4 linked regions of the Arabidopsis thaliana genome follow. The protein of the gene in region 4 interacts with the protein of the main gene of each other region in a pairwise test. Each region holds a gene or a part of one and is shown on either strand. Other genes may lie near its edges.

What was found.
Region 1: the proteins of AT1G12500 (region 4) and G1 interact in a protein complementation assay, tested with the Arabidopsis thaliana proteins (one large-scale study listed by BioGRID).
Region 2: the proteins of AT1G12500 (region 4) and CPK6 interact in a protein complementation assay, tested with the Arabidopsis thaliana proteins (one large-scale study listed by BioGRID).
Region 3: the proteins of AT1G12500 (region 4) and AT4G30240 interact in a protein complementation assay, tested with the Arabidopsis thaliana proteins (one large-scale study listed by BioGRID).

What each region holds. Positions count from the first base shown.
Region 1 is NC_003074.8:19,208,577-19,213,042, forward strand, and holds G1 (transmembrane protein G1P-related 1), read right to left. Parts: upstream 2,274-4,466; 5' UTR 2,088-2,273; coding exon 1,317-2,087; 3' UTR 939-1,316; downstream 1-938. Other genes in the region: ATG2 (metallopeptidase M24 family protein), read right to left, coding at 2,685-2,761, 2,850-3,050, 3,112-3,203, 3,290-3,426, 3,512-3,727, 4,214-4,367, 4,460-4,466. UniProt on the Arabidopsis thaliana protein: Heme-binding chaperone that may be involved in cytochrome c maturation in mitochondria.
Region 2 is NC_003071.7:7,513,716-7,520,307, reverse strand, and holds CPK6 (Calcium-dependent protein kinase family protein), read right to left. Parts: upstream 3,979-6,592; 5' UTR 3,652-3,978; exon of another isoform or gene 3,453-3,651; intron 3,365-3,452; 5' UTR 3,304-3,364; coding exon 2,586-3,303; intron 2,430-2,585; coding exon 2,286-2,429; intron 2,194-2,285; coding exon 2,041-2,193; intron 1,949-2,040; coding exon 1,833-1,948; intron 1,741-1,832; coding exon 1,573-1,740; intron 1,487-1,572; coding exon 1,262-1,486; intron 1,180-1,261; coding exon 1,069-1,179; 3' UTR 646-1,068; downstream 1-645. Other genes in the region: AT2G17280 (Phosphoglycerate mutase family protein), read right to left, coding at 5,464-5,542, 5,630-5,674, 5,769-5,888, 5,980-6,068, 6,153-6,227, 6,305-6,467. UniProt on the Arabidopsis thaliana protein: May play a role in signal transduction pathways that involve calcium as a second messenger. Functions in abscisic acid (ABA) regulation of guard cell S-type anion- and Ca(2+)-permeable channels and stomatal closure. Phosphorylates FD.
Region 3 is NC_003075.7:14,807,125-14,812,273, forward strand, and holds AT4G30240 (Syntaxin/t-SNARE family protein), read right to left. Parts: upstream 2,952-5,149; 5' UTR 2,622-2,951; coding exon 2,539-2,621; intron 2,332-2,538; coding exon 2,217-2,331; intron 2,117-2,216; coding exon 1,532-2,116; intron 1,457-1,531; coding exon 1,357-1,456; intron 1,255-1,356; coding exon 1,235-1,254; 3' UTR 1,198-1,234; intron 1,112-1,197; 3' UTR 765-1,111; downstream 1-764. Other genes in the region: AT4G30230 (uncharacterized protein), read left to right, coding at 1-34; AT4G30250 (P-loop containing nucleoside triphosphate hydrolases superfamily protein), read right to left, coding at 4,138-5,149.
Region 4 is NC_003070.9:4,262,250-4,267,204, forward strand, and holds AT1G12500 (Nucleotide-sugar transporter family protein), read right to left. Parts: upstream 2,908-4,955; 5' UTR 2,709-2,907; coding exon 2,037-2,708; intron 1,707-2,036; coding exon 1,293-1,706; 3' UTR 901-1,292; downstream 1-900.

The sequences.
Region 1 (4,466 bases), on a different chromosome or scaffold from region 4:
ATGTATATAACTCACGCTTTGGCAGGATTTGAGGCAGGATTTGAACAAGCCCAATTTTAGACAGGTCGGCCGAACCGCCACAATGCATATAGTGAGAGATTTAACTTGATATGGTCCCCAACCAAAAGAACTTATAGGCCTAAAATCTGAACTTTCTCTGAACCAAAAAACAAAAACTATCTACGAGGAATATGGAATAATCTAGTTAGTATAGGGCAGCAAGTATAGTAATGGTGATTTGTCCCATATTCAAAATGGACCAAGCACACAATAGCAATCGAATATAGTAGTGACAAATATCGTAATGCTCTTGTTCCATACTTGATAGTCAGTATTTTTGATGACTCAATCATATACCACTCGTTCCATACTTGATAGTCAGTTTTTGTTGACTGAATCATATACCACCCACGATAAATTTGCTATACAATGAGAGACTGATGCATATATAAAGATGCACTTAAAAAAAGCAAAAGCAATAGCGTAACTGCGGAACACTTCAAACTACAGCTACATTAGTAGACTAGTAGTTGGTTATCAACCAACAAGCCTAAGAGAAGTGCCAAAACAGAAGCCAATGCCATGATTCTAGAGGCAAAAACTAGGCACCTAATCGACTCAGAAAGTACAAACTTGAAATCTCCAGGGCCAGAATTGCCTAGTTGAAACATAAGATGCATAAAAGGAATGCATGACCATCTTCAAGATTGTCAACAAGCTCAACCCATATTTATAAAACAACAAAGAAAGAGCTTGGAACCTCCAGAACAACTAAGAGGAAGCTCTGAAAGACCTGTATGTTCAACTCTTTTGGCTATAGTACCTAGTCATGATAAGAATAAGGTCACACAAGCTACAACTTTGGTGATACGTTTACAATTATATACCCACGACCTGATGAAGCTAATAAGATTCACTAGATCAATCTAATCTGTGTGCAGCAACAAAACATAGCTTCTCTAATCTGTGTGCACATCAACAACAAACAAAACATCCAACAACACAATGAATCAAGCAGCATATTTGATCCCTCGTCAAAGTGTTCTTTATTTGATCAACACAACAAGAAAGTAGATTAGCTTATAGCTTTGTGGAATCAAACAAAGCTATTGTATAGTGTATCACATTTCTCCACTTAATTCTCAAATAGACTCAAAAATCAAATCTCTGTTTTCCAGGAATATAACATTCCAATCTTCCTACTCTTTTCCAGAAACTATAATCAAATATAACCTTATAAGATGAACAATACTCACCAAAAGCTCGAACTTGGGGAAAATTTTGATTAACTTAAAAAGAATGAAGTTTATACCAATCTAAGAAGCCGCAACTTCAGCAGCTTGTTCAGTCGCCGCCGCTTCAATAATTTTCTTATTCTTCTCAATCGCCGCCGCAACTTCCTGTGGCATATACTTCTCATCATGCTTAGCCAAAACTTCAGTCGCCGAGAAGAAACAATCGAGGTTCCTAGCTTTCTTCGAAATAGGTTTTGTAGAAACTTCCTTCCTTACTTCATCTGTATACGGCTTAATGAATCCTTCAACCACAACTGAATGACCTTCCCTAAACAGATCCGGCAAAGATCCTTTATACCTAACCAAAATATCAGTGATCAGATCAGTGATCACAAACTCCATCTCCTGTGACGCCGCCGGCTGCGCAACGCTACCTTCTAGAACCAAACCACCGAGTCTGAATTTGTTCTTTGTTGGATTCTCTGCGAATTTCTCCATAGCGTCTGATGGCGTTAGGTAGAAGACAAGCTGATCCTGAAATTGGTTAAGGACGATAACTACGAATCCGGCGATGCAGCTGAAGGTTAGCGCGTAGGTCCATAAACGGCGATTCTGCATCTGACGCGCTTTGGCTCCGATATCGATTTTCTTAGGACGTGTTGGACCGCGACGAGCGATGGAGAGAGATCGGAGGAAGGTTAAGGATGATAATCGCGATGGATCTGGTGAGGCGGTGGTCAATGAGTGAAAAATCGGGCAAGGTGGTGATTCGAATGACGATGAGATTTGAGGATTTCGTTGAATTGATCGGAGGATTTGAGAACTTCGACGGAACAATAACCTAGCTGCCATTTTCCGGGAAGATTGATTTTTCCTCGTGGGAATCAATCAAATTCCCGAGAGCGAGAGGTTTATGGGGTTTTCTGGAAAAATGAAAAAGAAGCCACAAGCCGCCCCACTGAAGAACTATGGACCACGTCAAGAACCCTCTCTGTGGTTTAGAGGGTTCAATCACAATTTCTTAAGTGAAATTCTGATTACTATTCGTTACAATCTCAAAATCAACCAATCCAAAAATCTGTATAAGCTTCGATTATTGAAGAGCTGAGTTTTTTTCTTCTGTCACAAATATTTCTCTTCTGTGGGATCAAATCCTTACCACGTAAACACATTCAAAGAGTAGTTTGTTGGTAACAAGTGTTTCTAAACAGAGTTATTGTTATAGCCTGAAACCAGATAAGTATTTTTGATTAGAGAATGAGATAAGATTAGGACAAGCAAAGAAATGATGATGAAAAGTGCTTTGTGCAAAAATATGCACAAAGGTGGTAAACTATTGTTTGTTTTTTTTTGTTTAAGAAGAGACTCTCTTGAAACCCAAACATACAACGAAAGAGGTACCTCAAGTTTCAAAAATTCTTTAAAAGAAACAAAGACAAATCTTCCTACTCATTCTTGAGCATTACTACTTGCGTCCATTGGCTCAGCCTCTGTTGAAGCCTCTCCTTTCTCTCCCGCCTTTTGGGCTGCAAAACACCAAATTGAACCTTTTTAATCAACATGTGGATCACGTCATATAAGGTAAAAGTCTGGAAATTTATTTTAAGTTCTTACCTTTCTTCTTCTTTCCACCACCTTTCTTCTTCTTGATGCCCAAAGCTAACCACCCTTTGATCTCAGGGTCTTCGATGGTCTTTTTAGGAAGTTCCTGAAGTGTATGTGAAGTGATCCTATCTGATCCATTTGGCATCAGCAAAACTGTGAACTTAATCTGAGCAACAAAATCCCCTGGTAGAAAACCAAAACGACATGAGCCTTGATATCAAGATTCAGATAAAAGAGGTTTATAGATTCAAAACCCTTTCATCATCCTTACCAGGCTTCTCGTAAAGAACAGGATATGGTTGCAAATGACCATGGTTCACACACTCCACAAGTCCAAGCCGTGCCCTTTTCTCCTCCAGTGACCTGTATTGATAATACTCTCAGGTAACGTTAGCAAGTGAGATAATAGTTTAAGGAATATAAAATGCTTCAGAAGGTACAAAAGACACCTTGCAGTGAATGGCATACGGGGGAAGTTCTGTTTAATTTCGCTGATTATGAATCTGGAGGCCTTCATCTTCAACTGATAGTTAACACTTTCATCTTTCTTGTAAATAGTTGTTTGCTTCTCGTCTAATAGCTTTGGCTGCAAAGTCAAAGATTGTGAGAACAATGGCAATAGACAAAGGTTCACCAATAGTGATCGGGATGCGATAAACAAAAGAAATTACCTTGCCATCACCAGTACTTGCCACAATATCTATTGCATAGACTTCATTCTCTTCAAATTCCACTTCGTCAACAGTTGTTTCAGGGCTGGATACACTAAGCACAACCTTGTTTCCATCTATCACATGCTGTTTCAGCTGGTGGGAAAGAACACCTTCAACAATTTTGCAGTCATAAGCTGCAGCTACCTTCTGAATAGCTTCAGTTACATCAGTGTTCTGCGATAAGAAAAACAGAATATCAATGTCTTGATTGCAATATGTTGTAGTACTAAACAAGAAACTACAAACTCGTAGCAAGAAACTTTATTTTAAAGAACTTTCCCACATCAGAGTAACTACGGCCTCATTTGGATGCGAATCCATAACAATTACGGTCTTCATCCAGAAATCTTTTCCCAAAACAATTTACATTTGAAGTCCGCTAAAAAAAAAAAGCATCGTGCAAGACCAAGAGAGGAAAACCTTAGACAAAGTTCCAACATCTCATAGTAAATCCAACGAGGGATCAGACTAAAAATCAGAATAAGAAAAATCCCATCAGAGTAACTATGACAAAAAAGCATCATATGGATAATAATCCATAGCCATTTATTAAGTGTTCATCATCTGGGTTTTGTAAAACCTTGACAATCATTCAAGAGGCAGTTATAGTACCAAAAGCCTATAGTTTCAAGTTTAATGTAAGAGTAAAACTGATGATACCTTTTTTCCAGGACGTACGAGCCTTAGAGCAACATCAGCTGCAGTATTTGCGGCAGCGATAACATCAGCCTTACGCCCACTAAGAGGCCCTTCTTGAAGAACATGTGTGTGACCAACAAGGGCAATGAACCCATCAATATGACATCCCATATCGCTGCAATTGAGAAACGCAAAACAACATCAGAAATAACACAGGTGAATCATACAGAAACATCTAAAAACAGGTATTACTTGAAGACAACTTACATTTTAA
Region 2 (6,592 bases), on a different chromosome or scaffold from region 4:
ATATTTTTAATCTTTGATATATGAGGATGTGCTTTATTTTCTCGTAACGACTGATTTAATGATCTTTTTTAATTTACTTTGTAGACGAAATTTGACCAATCTATTTCACCATTTTTCGGAAAACTAAATAAAAGGTGACATAAATAACTCACTGCATGTGGTGTGAAATGTATATACATTAATACATACGAACATACGATGCATATATATAAATAAGTGGGAGCACATGGTTTCCCTGTCATGTTCCAATCCACCACATTGGGACCAATGTATGATTGATTGTTTCGAACAACCTTAAGTTTGGTTCTAAGACATCACTTTGATTACATGATTGAGACTTAGTAGCTATCATCATACAGTATTCCACATTTTACATCAATTATTGCTCTTTTATTACATAAATTTTTGTGTATATACACACACTCATGTGTTCATATGTACATACATGTTTATGTACTTACAGATTCAGATGTAATTAGAGAAAGAAATTAGTGGACAGAAACTTGTAACATAGTAGTTGACTAGTTGTATTAATGTTGTCGCTATGACTCCAATTTGGAAGTATGCATGTGAGAAAAGACGACCAAAGCCGAGCTAAAAAGTTTAACAAACCAAAGTGAAGAGTATGCGTTTGTGTACTAACAACAGCAACAACAACTAAAAGGTGGAAGATTGTCACACAACTTGTATATCACATTTGTACTATATTGGAAGATGATTTGATCTTTCAAAAACCCAAAAAGGGTCAAAGCTTTCGACGATGGAGATGAAATAAAAACCAAACTTAAACAGTTGTTACAAACAAACAAAACAGAGAGAGAGAAAATAGAAATAGTCCTCACAGCTACTGATGAACAGAACTTAACACTTTTTTTTTATCTTTCACCATTTTTTAATCATACAGTAGTTTTTAACATTTTTAACTCAAACCTTCAACGATTTAGCTGGTTCGCTGCAGCTATGAATCTGGTTTCTCTTCCTCCTCTGTGATTAAACATTGCAAATGTTGATTCCATGGAAACATTTGCATCCTCACCGAATAGACGATTTAAAGATGTGTGTATGTGCCTACACATCTCTCATGCTGATGTTTAGACTATTTTTCATTGTTCTTCTCCCTACACCAGCATTTCCCTTTTGCATCATCGCAACAAATTCTTCGTAATCAATCCGTCCATCCTGTAAGAAACAAAAACCAAAACTTTATTAGCAAACACCAATGGTGAAGAGTGGAAGAATCATGTCAAGAGGCAAAGCTTACGTTGTCTTGATCTACTTCTTTGATTATGTCTTCAAGAAAAACATCGGTCATCCCATGTTCAATGCAAGATTGTTGCAGCTCATCAATGGTGATGTAACCACTTCCATCTTTGTCAAAGTACTGAAATGCAGAGACAAGATGCTCTTCTCTCTCTAGTTTATTCAGATGGATCGTCGCTGCAATAAACTCGCTGTAATCTATTGTACCGCTGTTGTCCACATCAGCCTAAGATACAACACAGAGAGTATGGTTATTGTCATCTATATAGCGAAATGAACTAGTGTGCATATCTCAAAAGGATGCATTGTTACCGCTTCCATAAGATCTCGGATCTCGGTGTCTTTCAAGGTTGATCCATATCTTCTCAAGCCAGCTTTGAGTTCATCAAAAGTGATTGCACCGCTGTTATCAGTATCCATTGCCTCAAACATTGCTCTTAAACCCGCAATCTCTTCTTCTGAGAGGCTCTCAGCTATCACCTGATCATTCCATAATCACTAATATGAGTAAACATATCTCAAACGAATGTGATGCAGAGACAATAGAAGATTGAGTATAACTACAAACTGACCTTTAAAGCCATCTTCTTTAATTTATTCATTGCAGAAAACTGTTTTAGACGAGACAAAACAGCCGGGTCAAGTGCTCTATCCGGTGCAACTCCATTCTCACAGATCCATGGATGACCTGAAAAAAAAAGAGATACATACAAGAGATATAGTCTAATGTTGTGTGGCTGCCAAATGTAACCATTTATTTAAGTGTAATTGATTACGTACGCAAGACTTCATGAGCAGTCAAACGTTCAGAAGGACTAGAGCATAACATCTTCCGGATCAGATCTTTAGCACTGTCGGATATGACAGGCCACGGGTCTGTATCAAAGTCAATATATCCCTTCAACACAGCATCAAATATTCCTTGCTGTGTTTCTGATTTCAAAAACACAAAACCAAACTTCAGGAAACCTTGTCAATGGCACTAATTAAGAGAACGCATTGAAACAGCTATATCGCCCGCATACCTGCCCAGAAAGGCGGGACACCACTTAGTAAGATATAGAGTATAACACCAGCAGTCCACACATCAGCTTCTGGACCATAATGTTTTAGAAGAACCTCAGGAGCAACATAGTATGGACTTCCAACAACATCCTTGAATATTTGGCCTGATATTAGAGTAAGACTACACATTATGCAAAGCTGAAACATTTACATTCCCTTACTCATTTGATGAATAGAAAGTCACAGTAATGTATACTACAAAACACATCATGGTACTTAAATAGATTCAGAACAATGAGAAACTCGCAACTAACGCTTACCTGGTTTGAAGAAAACAGAGAGACCAAAATCAATGGCCTTAAGAGAGAAATCATCATCCTTATTAACCAACAAGAAATTCTCAGGCTTTAAATCTCTATGCATAACACCAAGAGAATGACACGCCTCAACAACACCGACAATGATCTTGGTCAACTCAGCAGCTTTCCTCTCGCTGTAATGACCTCTATGAATAATCCTATCAAACAACTCACCACCAGCACAAAGCTCCATCACAATGTGAACATACAAAGGATCCTCATAAGCTCCTTTAATAGTAACAATATTCTTGTGACCAGCTAAATGATGCATAATCTGAATCTCCCTCCTAACATCCTCAACATCTTCTTTAGATATCAATTTCCTCTTGGATATAGACTTACAAGCATAGTCAACACCTGTGGCAATATCAGTACACAAATACGTTGTCCCGAATTGTCCTTGTCCTAACTTACGACTCAACGTGTAAAGATCACGAATGTTAGGAGTCTTGTGACCAAGAACATAGTAAGATTGATTGTCAACGTTACGCCGCATAATGGGTTCTTTAACAGGAATCACAAGAGCTGGATTGGTGTTCTGTTTGGAGAAATCTTGGTCTGTAGTAGGAGAATGAACAGAGGAAACAGTAGTGGTGGTGGATTTGGAATTCTCCTCGGGCCTACTATGATTGCCCTCGTAGATTTTGTCCTTAAAAGAACCACGACATGAATTGCCCATGAAACAAACTCTCTCTATTTCACAACTTTTTTCACTTTCTTCTTCTCCTCATCCAACGAAACTGTTTCATGAACAAACATACACAAAAAAAATCAGATAAAGAGAAGCCAAAAAAGTATCAAACTTTGGAACGAAATCAAAGAACCCACATCAGATCAAGCTTCAAAAAACATAATTGTTTTGTAACATAATCAAAGATTAAAGAAAAAAAGACAAGAGCTCCTGAAAAGTCGTAGCTTTAAATGTTCATCGATCATTATAGATCCCAAAAAAGAATCAAAGACACAACAATAAATGAAGAAATCATTTGGTAATAAAAGAAACATGAGAAAACAGAGGATCTAGTACCGGAATATAGCAGAACAGCGAGAAGACGATGAAATGGAGACGAAGAAGAAATGGGAAAAACTCAAAAAAGGATAATTATTCGTTGATAGTTTTTGTTTAAGTCAATAACAAAAGAGAAAAAATGGTTTCTTTGTTATGTTATTGTTTAATAGTATATATCTCTATATGTGTTGCTGTTTCTGGTTGGGTAATTGGATTCGTTGAATCATTAGAGAGTGTTAAAAAGATTGATTCTTTTGTGGATTTGTGAAATGATGAAGGAGAGAGGATGGTGCAAAGAAGAAAGGTCTTTTACGCGGTTTCGTCTCACCTTCTTCATTCCTTAATTGCTTGTTTAATTAGTATTAATTTAAGGGATCATCATCTTTTACTGGTGTAATGATACTTAGTGCAAGTAGGGAGAATAAAAAATTGCAATAATTTGTTTAGGATAACTTATTATTAAGAGAATGATTATAAGCCTAACGTTATACTAGCTTTTTTTAAGAGTTGGATGTGCTTAACTTAGCTAACTACAAAATATTATTATTAGATGCATATAGTTAAGAGTTAATTTATGGTCTTGATTAACAGATCGAAACAATGGACAACTAAATTTGTTCTGAAAACTCAAGTTTTATTATGTTGACTTTTCACATTGGTTCATCAAAGATGTCACATTCTTTTTTACTTTTGCTAGTATATAGGCTTTCTTGAATAAACATTTTGGTATGTCTACGTTGAAATAACAACTAGTACAGTATAAATCAAACTTTTAGCACTGAAAGTTTTGCATAATTTTACCAATAATTAGTGAAGTATATAGGATATCACTTTTTTCTTACAAGAACTAAGGCATGGGGCATGTCATTGTCGGGTAGTGAGTAAGATCGCAGACTACAATTTGTCTCGCACGTGGTACAAATTTAGTTTGGGTGTACTTTTTTTTTCTTTTTGACATCACAGTATTGTACTTACAGTTTTTTTATTTTCCAATAGATAACTTTACAAACCGTGAATCATATCATTTAAAAAAAAAAATCGTTCTCTTAAACGGATAAGAAGCTAGACCTACTTTAAATTTTACATTGTCGAGTGTTCTTTAAAAGATCTTATCATATGTTCAAAATTGGGGAACAAAAAATTTCGAATTCCTAATGGTAAAAGCTTTCTCCAATAGTTTGGAGAGAGCGTAATTTCTATAAAGAATCTGAATACGATTATCGATTATATTAAAGTCCAAATACATAGAACGTACGAAGAGCATTAAACTTTGATCTACTTCTATAAAAACACTTAAAACATTTTCTATTTTCATAAAAAATCTCAACACCAAAAGATAAAACCTAGTACTATAAGAAAAGCTGAGTGTAATTTTTGGAATTTTCTCTTTGTTTTATTAAAATGCTTGGCCATAAGAAAATTCAACACAGCTGCCATAAAATATGAAGTTGATCTTACATAAATAATGTTTTAAGTTTCTGCTGGTTCTCATGTTGATAGAGATAAATCTACTCATCTAAGATTCACACTTATAATTTAGTTGCATCTACCAGTTCCTCTACTTGTAATGCTATTATTTCCACAATTGTATAATCACAGCTAAAATGAGAATTGGAGCAGAAATATTAAAGCTACCGCTAAATTTTGGATAATAACAATCATACAATAAATTCATGTAGCAGCAGAGTCAACCTACATGGCTACATACCAACACTAATGTTCATCAAATAACTGAAAATGCCAGATTCTAGTCCAATGGAAACATCATGTAATTTATTTATTTTAGAAAGAAAAACTATCTCAGAATTCTCTCTCTTACTCTTCAGCCATTTAGCCACTAGGATTATCAAGTCCTTCAGGAACCTTCCCAGGATAGTTTGTGGTCTCTGCAGAGTCAGTCCCCAGGTTCCTACACACCCAACACCATAATAAATAATCCAACACACTCTCAAATTATATTTATATTCTGTCAAAACTTATTGTAATTATTGCTTACCCTCGATCCACGATAACCATTGAGCGAAGCTCACAGTTGCTCAAACTGAACAAAGTTAAAGATGTTGATTAGTTAAACAGTTTCAAGTTATACAAATTGTTGGTGCTTGTAGACATCAAGTTTTTGTTTAAGCTCTTACTGTATAGACAACTCTTTCTTTAGGTCATCGCAACAATCCTTCCCGAAAGAACTCAAGAGACCGTGCAAGAAGCCACTGTGAGATACAATTGCGATCTCCTTCTCTTTCCTTGTCCATATCCTTCACAAAGCAAATGGCAGTAGAGAGATTCAGCTATACATATGTTTACATATATCTCCATGTGGAAATAAGTAACAAAAATGAAACTCACCATTTGATGAACTCTACACCTCTGGCTGCAACTTCTTCAAGGCTCTCTCTTGGACTCGGCTTCCACAGAACATCATTGTCGGTTTCAATCTAAAACCATAGAGGTCAAAGCATAAGCAACTTGCCAACATTTCCACAGAGATATATATTAACCATATAAGATGTTTTTCTTACAATTGAGAAATCAATAGCGGGAAAGAGAGCCTTGTACTCAGTGACGCTTCTTCGCCTGTCACAAGGATGATCACCCTGCATCCATAAAAACAATCTTTAACAATGTGATCTTCACTCATCTATACTAACAAACTCCTTAACAACTTATGTACCATAGTTTCCCTGCAAAGCTCAACAGCAAGGAAAGGAGGACTATTTAAGCTAGAAATCGCAGGACGATCGCTGCTCCCAGCATTAGCCACCATTAACGGTGTTGCATCCGCTCCATTAGTATCTTCTTCTCCTCCAAAAGCACCAACAGCTGTTTGTATAGTTCTACATTTTGAAACAAATCATAAAAACTGAGTCTTTATAATTACTCAAGTCTGCTAAATAACCAACAATCACAAGAACACAGCTTATAATCTTTTGTAAGAACAAAATGGTAACATTGTGAAAAC
Region 3 (5,149 bases), on a different chromosome or scaffold from region 4:
TGCTACGGCGCCGTTTTGGGTTCCTCATCCATAAATTACTATATTATTCCTACGAACATTGTGCGCGGTTACTTGCTCTGCCGTTGATTAAGAAGGATAGGATCGTCATTTAGTATAAGAAATATCGATATTGTTAATTTATTTTGTGAAAGAATGTCGAAATTGTAATTTATTTGGTGAATCGATAATAGTTTGGACCATAACACATCTTATTCACACCTTTTTCTTTTTCTTTGATTTTTTCGTTATTTTGTATTTCAGCTCATTTAGAATATTTCAATATATATTTTAATAAAATTGTTTTTGAAATTGAATTGGTTAGGTGAGGAATGAATGATGATCAAAAGAAGCACGAGAAGGATATGAGAAAAATTTATTACCTTACTTTTCCCAATGGGACTAGTCGATTTTTAATGATTTAGACAGGAAGTTGTATCATTTTTTAGCATTTATCTGTGCTTCGAAGTTCATGGTTGATAAATGGTATGATCAAATTCCATCTTGAGAGACTGTGACATGCACCTTTCTTTTGTCCAGAGACTTCTAGATTCGAAAATTATTAGACATTTTTCTTTCTTCATAAATCTTTTTCACCATTATCATATGTCTATATGATACGACCTAATATTAAGATTTTTTACTTAGCTTAGAATTGACCTAAATTGGTACTTTTGGGCTGTGACACTATTAGTGATGAAAGAAATTGAGACGTCAACTATAATGCGCATTTTAAAAGAAAGTAAGACAATGATTGGAACAAATGACTTGCCAAGTAAGTGAAAGAGGACAAAGAATGTTTTGTTCCAAAACAAATATCTGAGAGACAAACAAACACTGGAGATATCATTGAGCACAAACACGCATTGGTTTCCTTTAGGTACACGTCTAAAGTTTAACGAAACGTCGTAGCTTCAAGTTTTACAAATTGATCTTACAAATTTACAGGTTCCTATATGTTCCCTGAGGATTAAGAGAGAGTAATAAATCAGGCTTTGTCCTTCATTTGAATCTTGACAAAGTCTTTTAATCTCTCCTCCTTCCCTCGAAGGATGTTGAATCATGTAGCATCTAACGAGTGTGTAACCCAATACGCAAGAATCTGTGAAAAAACCTGCAAGATACACGAAAAGGATGTAATGTTTAAAGATTGTTTTAGAAAACTTGGAGTTCTGATTTAGAATCTAAAATATCATTTACCTGTCAATGTTTCTTGAGAGTTTCTGAAACCGCGGTTTTAAGTTCTCAAGATGAATACTGCAAGGGTATAAACAAGGAATTTGATTCAGTTATAGAGAGTAGAGACTGTCATGGAACAGTGGTGTGACATAACTCATGAGAACCAAGAGAAGGACTCACATAGAAGAATCAAGATTAGCGTTAAGGAAAGAATGAGCTTAATAGGGCGGCTCAATGGAACGCGAAATCGTCTTTGATAAACCTTGACTCTGTCAAAGAGCTGCAAAATGATAAACAACTAAGACTTATGATCCTTTCTAATAGTGTAGAGATGATCCAAACTGCAGAAGCTTACCTGGTTATAATCACGACATCTCTGCAGCCAAAACATAGGTTTAGCTCCTTTCTCTTTAGGAGTGTCTTCAATATGTGATAGGAACTTCTCCCTCTCTTCTTCTTTTGCATTAACAGGGACATTAATCCTCAACGCACTGATATTTGGTACATTTGGTGAACTCCATGTTCTTCTTGTACCGCCTTTTTTATCTGCACTTTCCGGACTTCCTATGTCGTCAATGTCTATCACACAATCAGGACTGTCGCCATAACATCTACCCTCTCTTCTGCCATTGATCCCACGTGGATTCTCAGCTACAGAACTCGTTGAGGAATCTCTCAAGTTGATGCTATCACTGTTTAAACTCTCTGACGTCTGAGAAGATCCAGATAGAAACATGGCGAGATCATCACGCTCTTCTTTGTTAAGATCCACCCAACGCAAAGGTTGTTTCCCATTCTCGCTTAACGACTCTAGCAGAGTAGATTCCACTTGATAAATCTGGTTTTCAATAGCGGTAACAAACTGTTTATGCCTAGTTAAGGTAGTGTCATCTCGACAATTTCCATGGCTTAAGCTCACTGCCCTCTCAAACTCTTCCAACTGATTCAAGTCACAACAATATAACCAATATCACTAACACACTCATGAGTAACCATGAAAAAAAAAGGGAATGATCAAAGGACCATTGATTGTTTCATACCTGCCATTTAGCAGTGCTCAAAGCAGCTTGGAGTTCTTTGCAGAGCTCGTCTGATTCTACGGATACTCGACCGTCTCTCTTCTCTTTAAACCACAACCTATACGCAGATTCCATTCTGGAAATACAACACAAATAAGAAACAAAATTTCAAATTTGATAACTCAATTCCTTCACAAAACACAAAGGTTCTCACTTAGACCATTCTAGAGCCAATTAGTCCCCTAAACAATCGAAATACCCTATTTTTCAATTGAAATTCCGAATTCCACCATCACAAGCAACATGAGTCAATTAAACAAACAGAGAATCAAAAAACACATACATATCAGCAGATTCTTGAACCTCCTCAGCTGCAGAGAAAAAAACATCCTTTTGCCATAGATCGAAACTATTCGCTACCATCATCTTCGAAACCACACCTAAACCCTTCAAATTAAAGACCAAAAAATCAACCCGAAAAGATTCGTCGGAATAGATTCTCTCTCCGATTATAATCCAAAATTAGATTCTGCTTCCTTCTCTTCTCTTCTCTTCTCTTCCTTTTTTGCCTTCAGGAGGAAAGAAGGAATTTTTATTTTTTCTTCCTCCAGCTTTCTGTTTTTATTTTTTATTCCTTAAATTCTTCGATATTTCTTTGCTTTCTTCACTTTAAACGTTAATGGAAGATTTTAATAAAGAGGCCTCTCTGAACTAAATTGACCATATTTCACACGTGTTTTATTGTAATTGGGAAATAATTTAAAGTAAGATGGTCTTAGCTGCAGGAGATTACCGCTTGTCAAAGAAAAACATCAAGAATGTCCGTGTTGTTGTTGGGCCTACCGGTTTGCCGCAACATCAATTGTTCGCCAACCGCATTATATTATTATTATTATTCTTTATTTTAATACTCTCTATACAAGTCAAATGCTAATGAGTAAATAAATTCAATAAAAACTCAACGCTAATTTTAACTTTTAGTTTAGTAATAGACAGTAGGAGCAGGACAAATTGAGGTGGCATGTGTAGCGCATGTGATATCAAAATTTTAACTAGTTAAATTGAAATTCATAAAATGAAAACATGTTTTGGTGTTTTCAGTTTTGGAGAGACATGTTTTGTTAAATAAATTTAATTAATTAGTTGTTGTGATATGGTGAAATACCACCTTCTTCAACAAATCCCAACCTTGATTTTGGTGTTTTCAGTTTTAATTAGTTACCAAGACCTGTTTTTGTTCTTATTTAGACATTAACCGGTGGTAGATTCTAGAGATTGGGCCCATAATATATATATATATTTTTTTTGATCAAAAAGATTGGGCCCATAATATAAAACAACTTTTTTCTGATGCAAATCTCTTTGGGTAGGATTGGGCTTCACTACTACAATATGTCAAAAATCAGCGGTCAATATTATATTTAGAAAAAAAAAAAGAACGGATGGATTTTTCAGGTCACTTCTAGTTTGAAGTCAAGTGTTTGATGTGATGATTCTTTAAATGTCACTTCTCGAGTAAATTGTTTTCTTGAACTATAAATTTTGAAATTTACAGGTTTCACATATAACCTGTATAAAAAAGGGTGTGACACTAACCAATTTACAACACCCAAAGTCCAAACGCCAATTCTCTTTTATCTCTTCAAAACAAACGTAACCGACACGAAAATTTGAGACAACATATACAACAACAAAGTGGCAATTTCTGCAGCATTAGTAGATACAAAAGCCAGTTTAGTCTCAACTCTCATGTAGCAAATCTCAGAAGGTTAACTTTGGACAGTGCCTACTTTTGACTTAAGAGTAAACCAAAATGGATAACGTTATATTATATGGTAACTAATCATATATTATAATAATTTTGACTAAACAAAACGGATAATTAAAAACACACAAGAACCACCATTAGATGATGATCCTAGGATAAACAGTCTCTTATCATTCACTTCTCCTTCTCATCTTCTTCTTCTTCCTCCTCTCGAAACCCACAAACCTCTCTGTTTCTTCTATTAGGACTATCCAAAGCTCTCTTCTCTTGTTCTTCCTCTGCTTCTTCTTCTTCTTCTTGACCTTCCTGTTTCTTCTTCTTCAATCCAACACTCTTCCTTCTCTTCACAACTCTCTCCTTCAACACACTCACAATCTCCCTCACCGCCTTCTCCGCATCACTCCTATTCCTAATCAACACTTCACTAACATCAGCCGGAGTAATCTCTGCTTCCTCCACACATTCTTCCATCTCCTTCAAAACAACACTATCCATATCTTCTTCCTCAAGCCTCAGATAATTCTTCAACAGAATCTTCAAAGCCGGAAACTTACAAAAACCCATGTGAACATGCATATCCATCCTCCCACTTCTCATCAGAGCAGAATCTAACTTCTCTATATGATTTGTCGTGAACACAAATATCTTCTCACTCCCACAACAAGACCAAAGCCCATCTGTGAAGTTCAATAGCCCCGACAGAGTCACCGAGCTTCCCGGTTCCTCCAAACCCGACCCGTTTGTCAAACCTGGATCATATTCATAGCTCCCATTCTTCTTTTTGTTCTTTCCTCGTTTCGTCAAACTGATAGAACAATCAATGTCTTCGATGACAATGATAGACTTAGAGCTAGTCTTCATCAACAGCTTCCTCAATTCAGAGTTGTTCTGAACCTCAGTGAGTTCAAGATCGTAAATATCGTAACCAAGGTAATTCGCCATTGCAGCAATCAAACTCGATTTGCCAGTTCCAGGTGGTCCATACAACAAGTAACCTCGTTTCCAAGCTCTTCCCGTTTTCTGATAAAACCCTTGTCCGTTCGCAAACTCCCTTAGATCCTCCATGATTCGCTTCTTCTTCTCAGGATCCATAGCCAGAGTATCGAACGTGCTTGGATGCTTGAATCTTACAGAATCCCATGGATGGCTCCTCGCGTCGAGCGAAACACCTCTTGAGTTCGTGTAA
Region 4 (4,955 bases):
CCTCTTTTGGAAGCAGAATGAAGATAATGAAGATATTAAAGAAAAAAAAACAAGGCCGTTCCCATTAGTCACGAGATTCAAATGCAAACCAAAGTCAGTTTGCTCTTCTGTCTACAAAACATAATTTGAGTCCGTTAAGTTGGACCGGTTCGGTTTAGTTAATTCGATTGCTTTTTGCTCTCTTGTTTGGTTAAAACTTATAAACTTAACATATAATACTAACATTTTGGAAAAAGGGGTCGAAAGATTAAAGCAACCAAACATATGTGCAGAAATATGAATGGCATATATTCTTCTTCTTTGTAAGAGATTTTTCTATGAATTTCGTTCCAAAATGCTTTACTTTTTTATATGCAATTTATGAGAATGAGACCACAACAACTTAGATTGGTGTACATATATCAAATGAAACATGTAATATAACAGTCCTATAACTACTTATAGAAACCTAATTAAACTATTACGTAGTGTTACCACCTTAAAAGGTTAACAAACCTTGACAAGTAAGTCTAAAGATAAACTTAACCTACATTAGCTAACATATCATCATCTTTTCAAACCCATTTAATACTGATTAAATCCTAGATGTCAGGTTGCTTCAGCTGAGAATAGCTTGATTACCCAATTATATTAATCAATAAAAATGTGTGTGTGCCTAACATTTTTGTAACAAAGAACGATATCTTATGCTAAGCTCAATAGGTTTTAGATCAAAATAATAATTCCAAATCATAATAAGAATACATGATCTAGAACAATATGTTACAAGTGAATTAATGAGCAAGTTGCCAAAAAAAAGAGCAAGTTGCCAAAAAAAAGAGCAAGTTGCTTAAGAAAGGTGTAAATTTAACCCACCAGATGAAAATGCGATTTCGCCTAACAGAAAAGACTCGAATCAAAAGTAGAAAGAAATTTATTATTTTGACTATTTTCCTCACTATGTTTCGATAATTTTGGTAAGACAAACTATAAAACATAATAGTACAAGAAAAGAAAAAACTAAAAGAAAGTAAAATAAAATAAAGATACAATCTTATTTCCTTTAATTATGCTCCCTACTTTTTCACTTTTGTTACATAAATATATCTCCACTTTTCTTTTCATAGTTTTTCCCCAATCTCAACCATTTACAATTAAATTGATTTTCCCCCTCTCAAAACGAACCAAACCGGTTCCAAACAATAGCAGAATTCCAAAGAATCAAGAAACTAAACCGAAAAAAAAGAAGTAAAAATTAAAAAGTAAAAATTACTTCACCGGTTTAAATCCAATAATCTTTCTCTTCACACTTTTCACTTCTGGTTTAGCAATTTGGATCTCTTCCTAGCTTCGCTATAGAGAACCACACCCATAATCGTCACACCAAATCCGGCTATTCCCATCACCGTCACCGGATTCCTAAATATCAAAACCGAGACTCCGGCAGCCACCGCAGCTTTTCCGTTCCCCAAAACCTGCAATGTGAGAGCACTTGTATGCTTTGTCACCAAGAAATTCGTCAAATTCACTAAATATGCCACTGTCGCATTCCCGGCTAACAAGAAGATGATCAATGGATCCGTCCTCGCTTTCTCGATTAGAACTCTTAAAACGTTTCCTTCAATGTATAGCGTAAATGGTAGTAAGATACAAGCCGCCATTGGAGCCATGTATAGCAAAAGATTCATAGAATGTAGCTTCTCCGATTCCGACGTCAGAATAATCCCCTACAAAATACACAAAATCCGGTTCAACCAAACCAATAGTGAGATCCAATAGACGCAATTCGATCATACCGATCGATTAGAATCTGAATTATCTGTTTAAATGCTATAGATTGAAATTCAGACAGAGACTGAACTAAACCGGACTCATTTCAGTTCTAAGAATAAAAACCGGATTCGAACTGGAACTAAATTTCTTCCAGATTTGTTATAATAAACCTGGATTCGGAAAAATTTAAGAGTGATGTTTTGTAATAAAATCGAAATTCGAACGCAATTTCTGATTCTCTTAGTACTAAAACGGAAAATTCAATACACCAAACCGATTAATACCTGGACGACGGATTTGAGAGCTCTACCGGCGGTGGAAGCAACACAGATAAGGAAACCAAAAAGATGAAAAGAAGGTTCAGAGTTAGAAGCAAGAACGATGCCGGAGACAACCGGAAGAAGAGCTAAATAAACTTCAGTGGACTCTGTTTTACAAGTAATGAGAAAAGAGAACACGGCGGTGAAAAACGGCGTCGTAGCTCCAATAGCTTGATTAAAAGAAACAGGGATATAACGTAGCGAAGTGTTGCCACAGACGACGGAGAGACAAAAGATCGCTGACAAAGAGAGGATCTTTAGAAACTGACGGCGAGATAAGATGTGCTGACGTGGCACGATTCCGGCGATATTGATTACGGCGGAGCTATAGGCGGCGCATGATAACATGTGTGTCATGGTGAGGAAGATTGGGTAACGGAAACCGTAGTAGAAGAGAAGGTATTTGTTTAAGAGGAGGACTCCTATATTTGAGCCAAACCAGGCGGCGATTATAGCCGCCGTGAGGATTGTTGGTGATACGGTGGGGGAAGAGAGGAAGAAGGGTTTGAGTGGTGAAGAAGCGGAGGAGTGTGGTGGTGTTCCGGGGATGTCTACGATGGTTGGTGCGGCGGTTGCGGCGGCGTCGAATCTAGGATTGCTCATCCGCCGCGTTGTCCATGATTGAGCTTCAACCATTTTTCGGATAGGGGCGAAATGGGAATAACAATAAGTTTTTCTTCTTTCTTTCTTTTTCTAGAGAGAGAGAGAGAAAGTGTGAGTTTTTATCTTTTTCGGTGGGGATTGAGATCTGAGTGAGTGAAGAAGAAGAAGAAGGAAGATGATTAATCGGACGGTGGAGATTCAGATTTAGCTGTAAAGGTTTAGAATGATATCAGCCGTTGGATCTTATAGTTGGAGGGAATTGTTATATTTAAAAATAAAAGAAAAATAAATAAAAAGACAAATCTAAGAAAATTAATTTTAAGATTCGAAGTCTTGTGTTCGGAGACTAAGCATGAGTCAGAAGTGTCGGTAGTAGGTCCACATTTGAGATCCGATGGAAGCAATCCTCTATGACGCAGCCTAATTTGTAATTACATACAAACCCCACTCACTAATTATTTAGCCTCTCTTTTCAAGTTTTGTTTTTAATAATTGTCCCTTAATACAATATTAGCAATAGTTGAAACACACATTAGCCTAACATTAACATTCCAGAACACACCAAAAATTAAAAAATCTCAACTAACAAAGTTGGATAAGTCACATTTATATATGGTTACATCAAAACAAATGCGTCGGTGTTGACCAGATTTAGACTCTCTCTTTTTTGGGTTGATTATATATGTTTAGATTTCAAAGAAGCATTTGAAACTATTTACATTTGACAATAGAGGTCGTACATTTTAATAAAGGTTGTCACAAATACCAAAATCTAATCAGATCTGTGAAGTAAATAACGCGATTTTTCTTTTGCATCAGCATTAATCACGCATTGTGTTTATCATCGAAATGACTAATTGACTATATAAGTCATCTAAATATATTAATAGATTTGTTATGTCATTCAAAGTTCAATACCAATTATGGTAACAAAATAGATTATAAAAGGGATATTATAATTCGAGAAAAGGGGACTTGGCCAATAGAATGCATTATTCTTTGCTACTTTCTGCAAAATATTTTCTTTATCGCATTGCATAGATTAAATTATTTTATACGTTCATTACTTGCCATTTTTCCCACTGATCATGCATGCGATTGCTAATATCTAAGGTGATAATAATTTTGTTAGGTGACTTTTGTGAATTCGACAAATATATCCTTCATGCGAAAGGAAAAAAATAACATGGTGGATAATAAATTTGATAAGAGCCATATTAATGAATTACAAAAAGAGAAACTGTTCGTTGACAAAAAAAAATGTCCCACACTGAAAAGGAATCCAAATATGAAAGATGCAACACAGAAATCATGATTTTCTACGAGTGTGTGTAATAGGTAAGAGCTATCTTTACTTAGAAGGACCAGCTCACTTTATCTGTCTTCTTTGCATTCCCTAAAAAAACGAAATGACTCCTTTTGTAAATTGCCGTAAGACAAAATCCAATGAATGATAATAAATGATTACAGCACGTCACTTAGTAAGAAACATTTAGAATGATGAATGTCTACGTATACTTATGATATCATCAAATCAACTAATTCACTAGCTAAAGCTAATCCTTTTATTTATGTAGTAGTTTAGACTAAATAAATAATTATGTATCGACCTTCATAAATTAAAACCAAAAAAGTATGTATGGCTCCCTAATAAAAAAACCAGACAACAGAAATTACACCAAAATGTTTGAAGTTTGATGTTCTGTCTAACCATTACTATTTAGTTTAATACTACAAAGCAATCAATTTTTAATGTAAGAAAAAAACATAGTATATAATAATTCATCTCTGACAATGTGAGATTTTATTATTTGAGAGTAGTTTATAGCAGCACATAACATTTCACATGTTCTTGGAATTCAAAATTCTATATGATTTAAATACTTCTTACGTTTACCAGAATAAATTATGTAGGGCACAATATTGTAGGAACCATTTGTTTCCATGTGCGACCCAATTTTAGTGGGCCAAAAACAGTGAAACTAAAGCTAGTTGCTGATAGGGCCCGCGTGACAACGAAACATTATCTAAAACATTTGGTCTATACTATTACAAAAGCAAAATGGCTTCGCCCGGGTTCGAACCGGAGACCTTCAGTGTGTTAGACTGACGTGATAACCAACTACACCACGAAACCTGTTGAACATTGATTAGATACACACAATATATAGTATAGTGATCAAATTCTGATAGGGGCTCAACATTAGTTACGCAATTGAAAGTACAGAGAGTTTTGGTACAAAACAAAAAGCTTGTGTTGTTTCAATATAAACCTCAAGT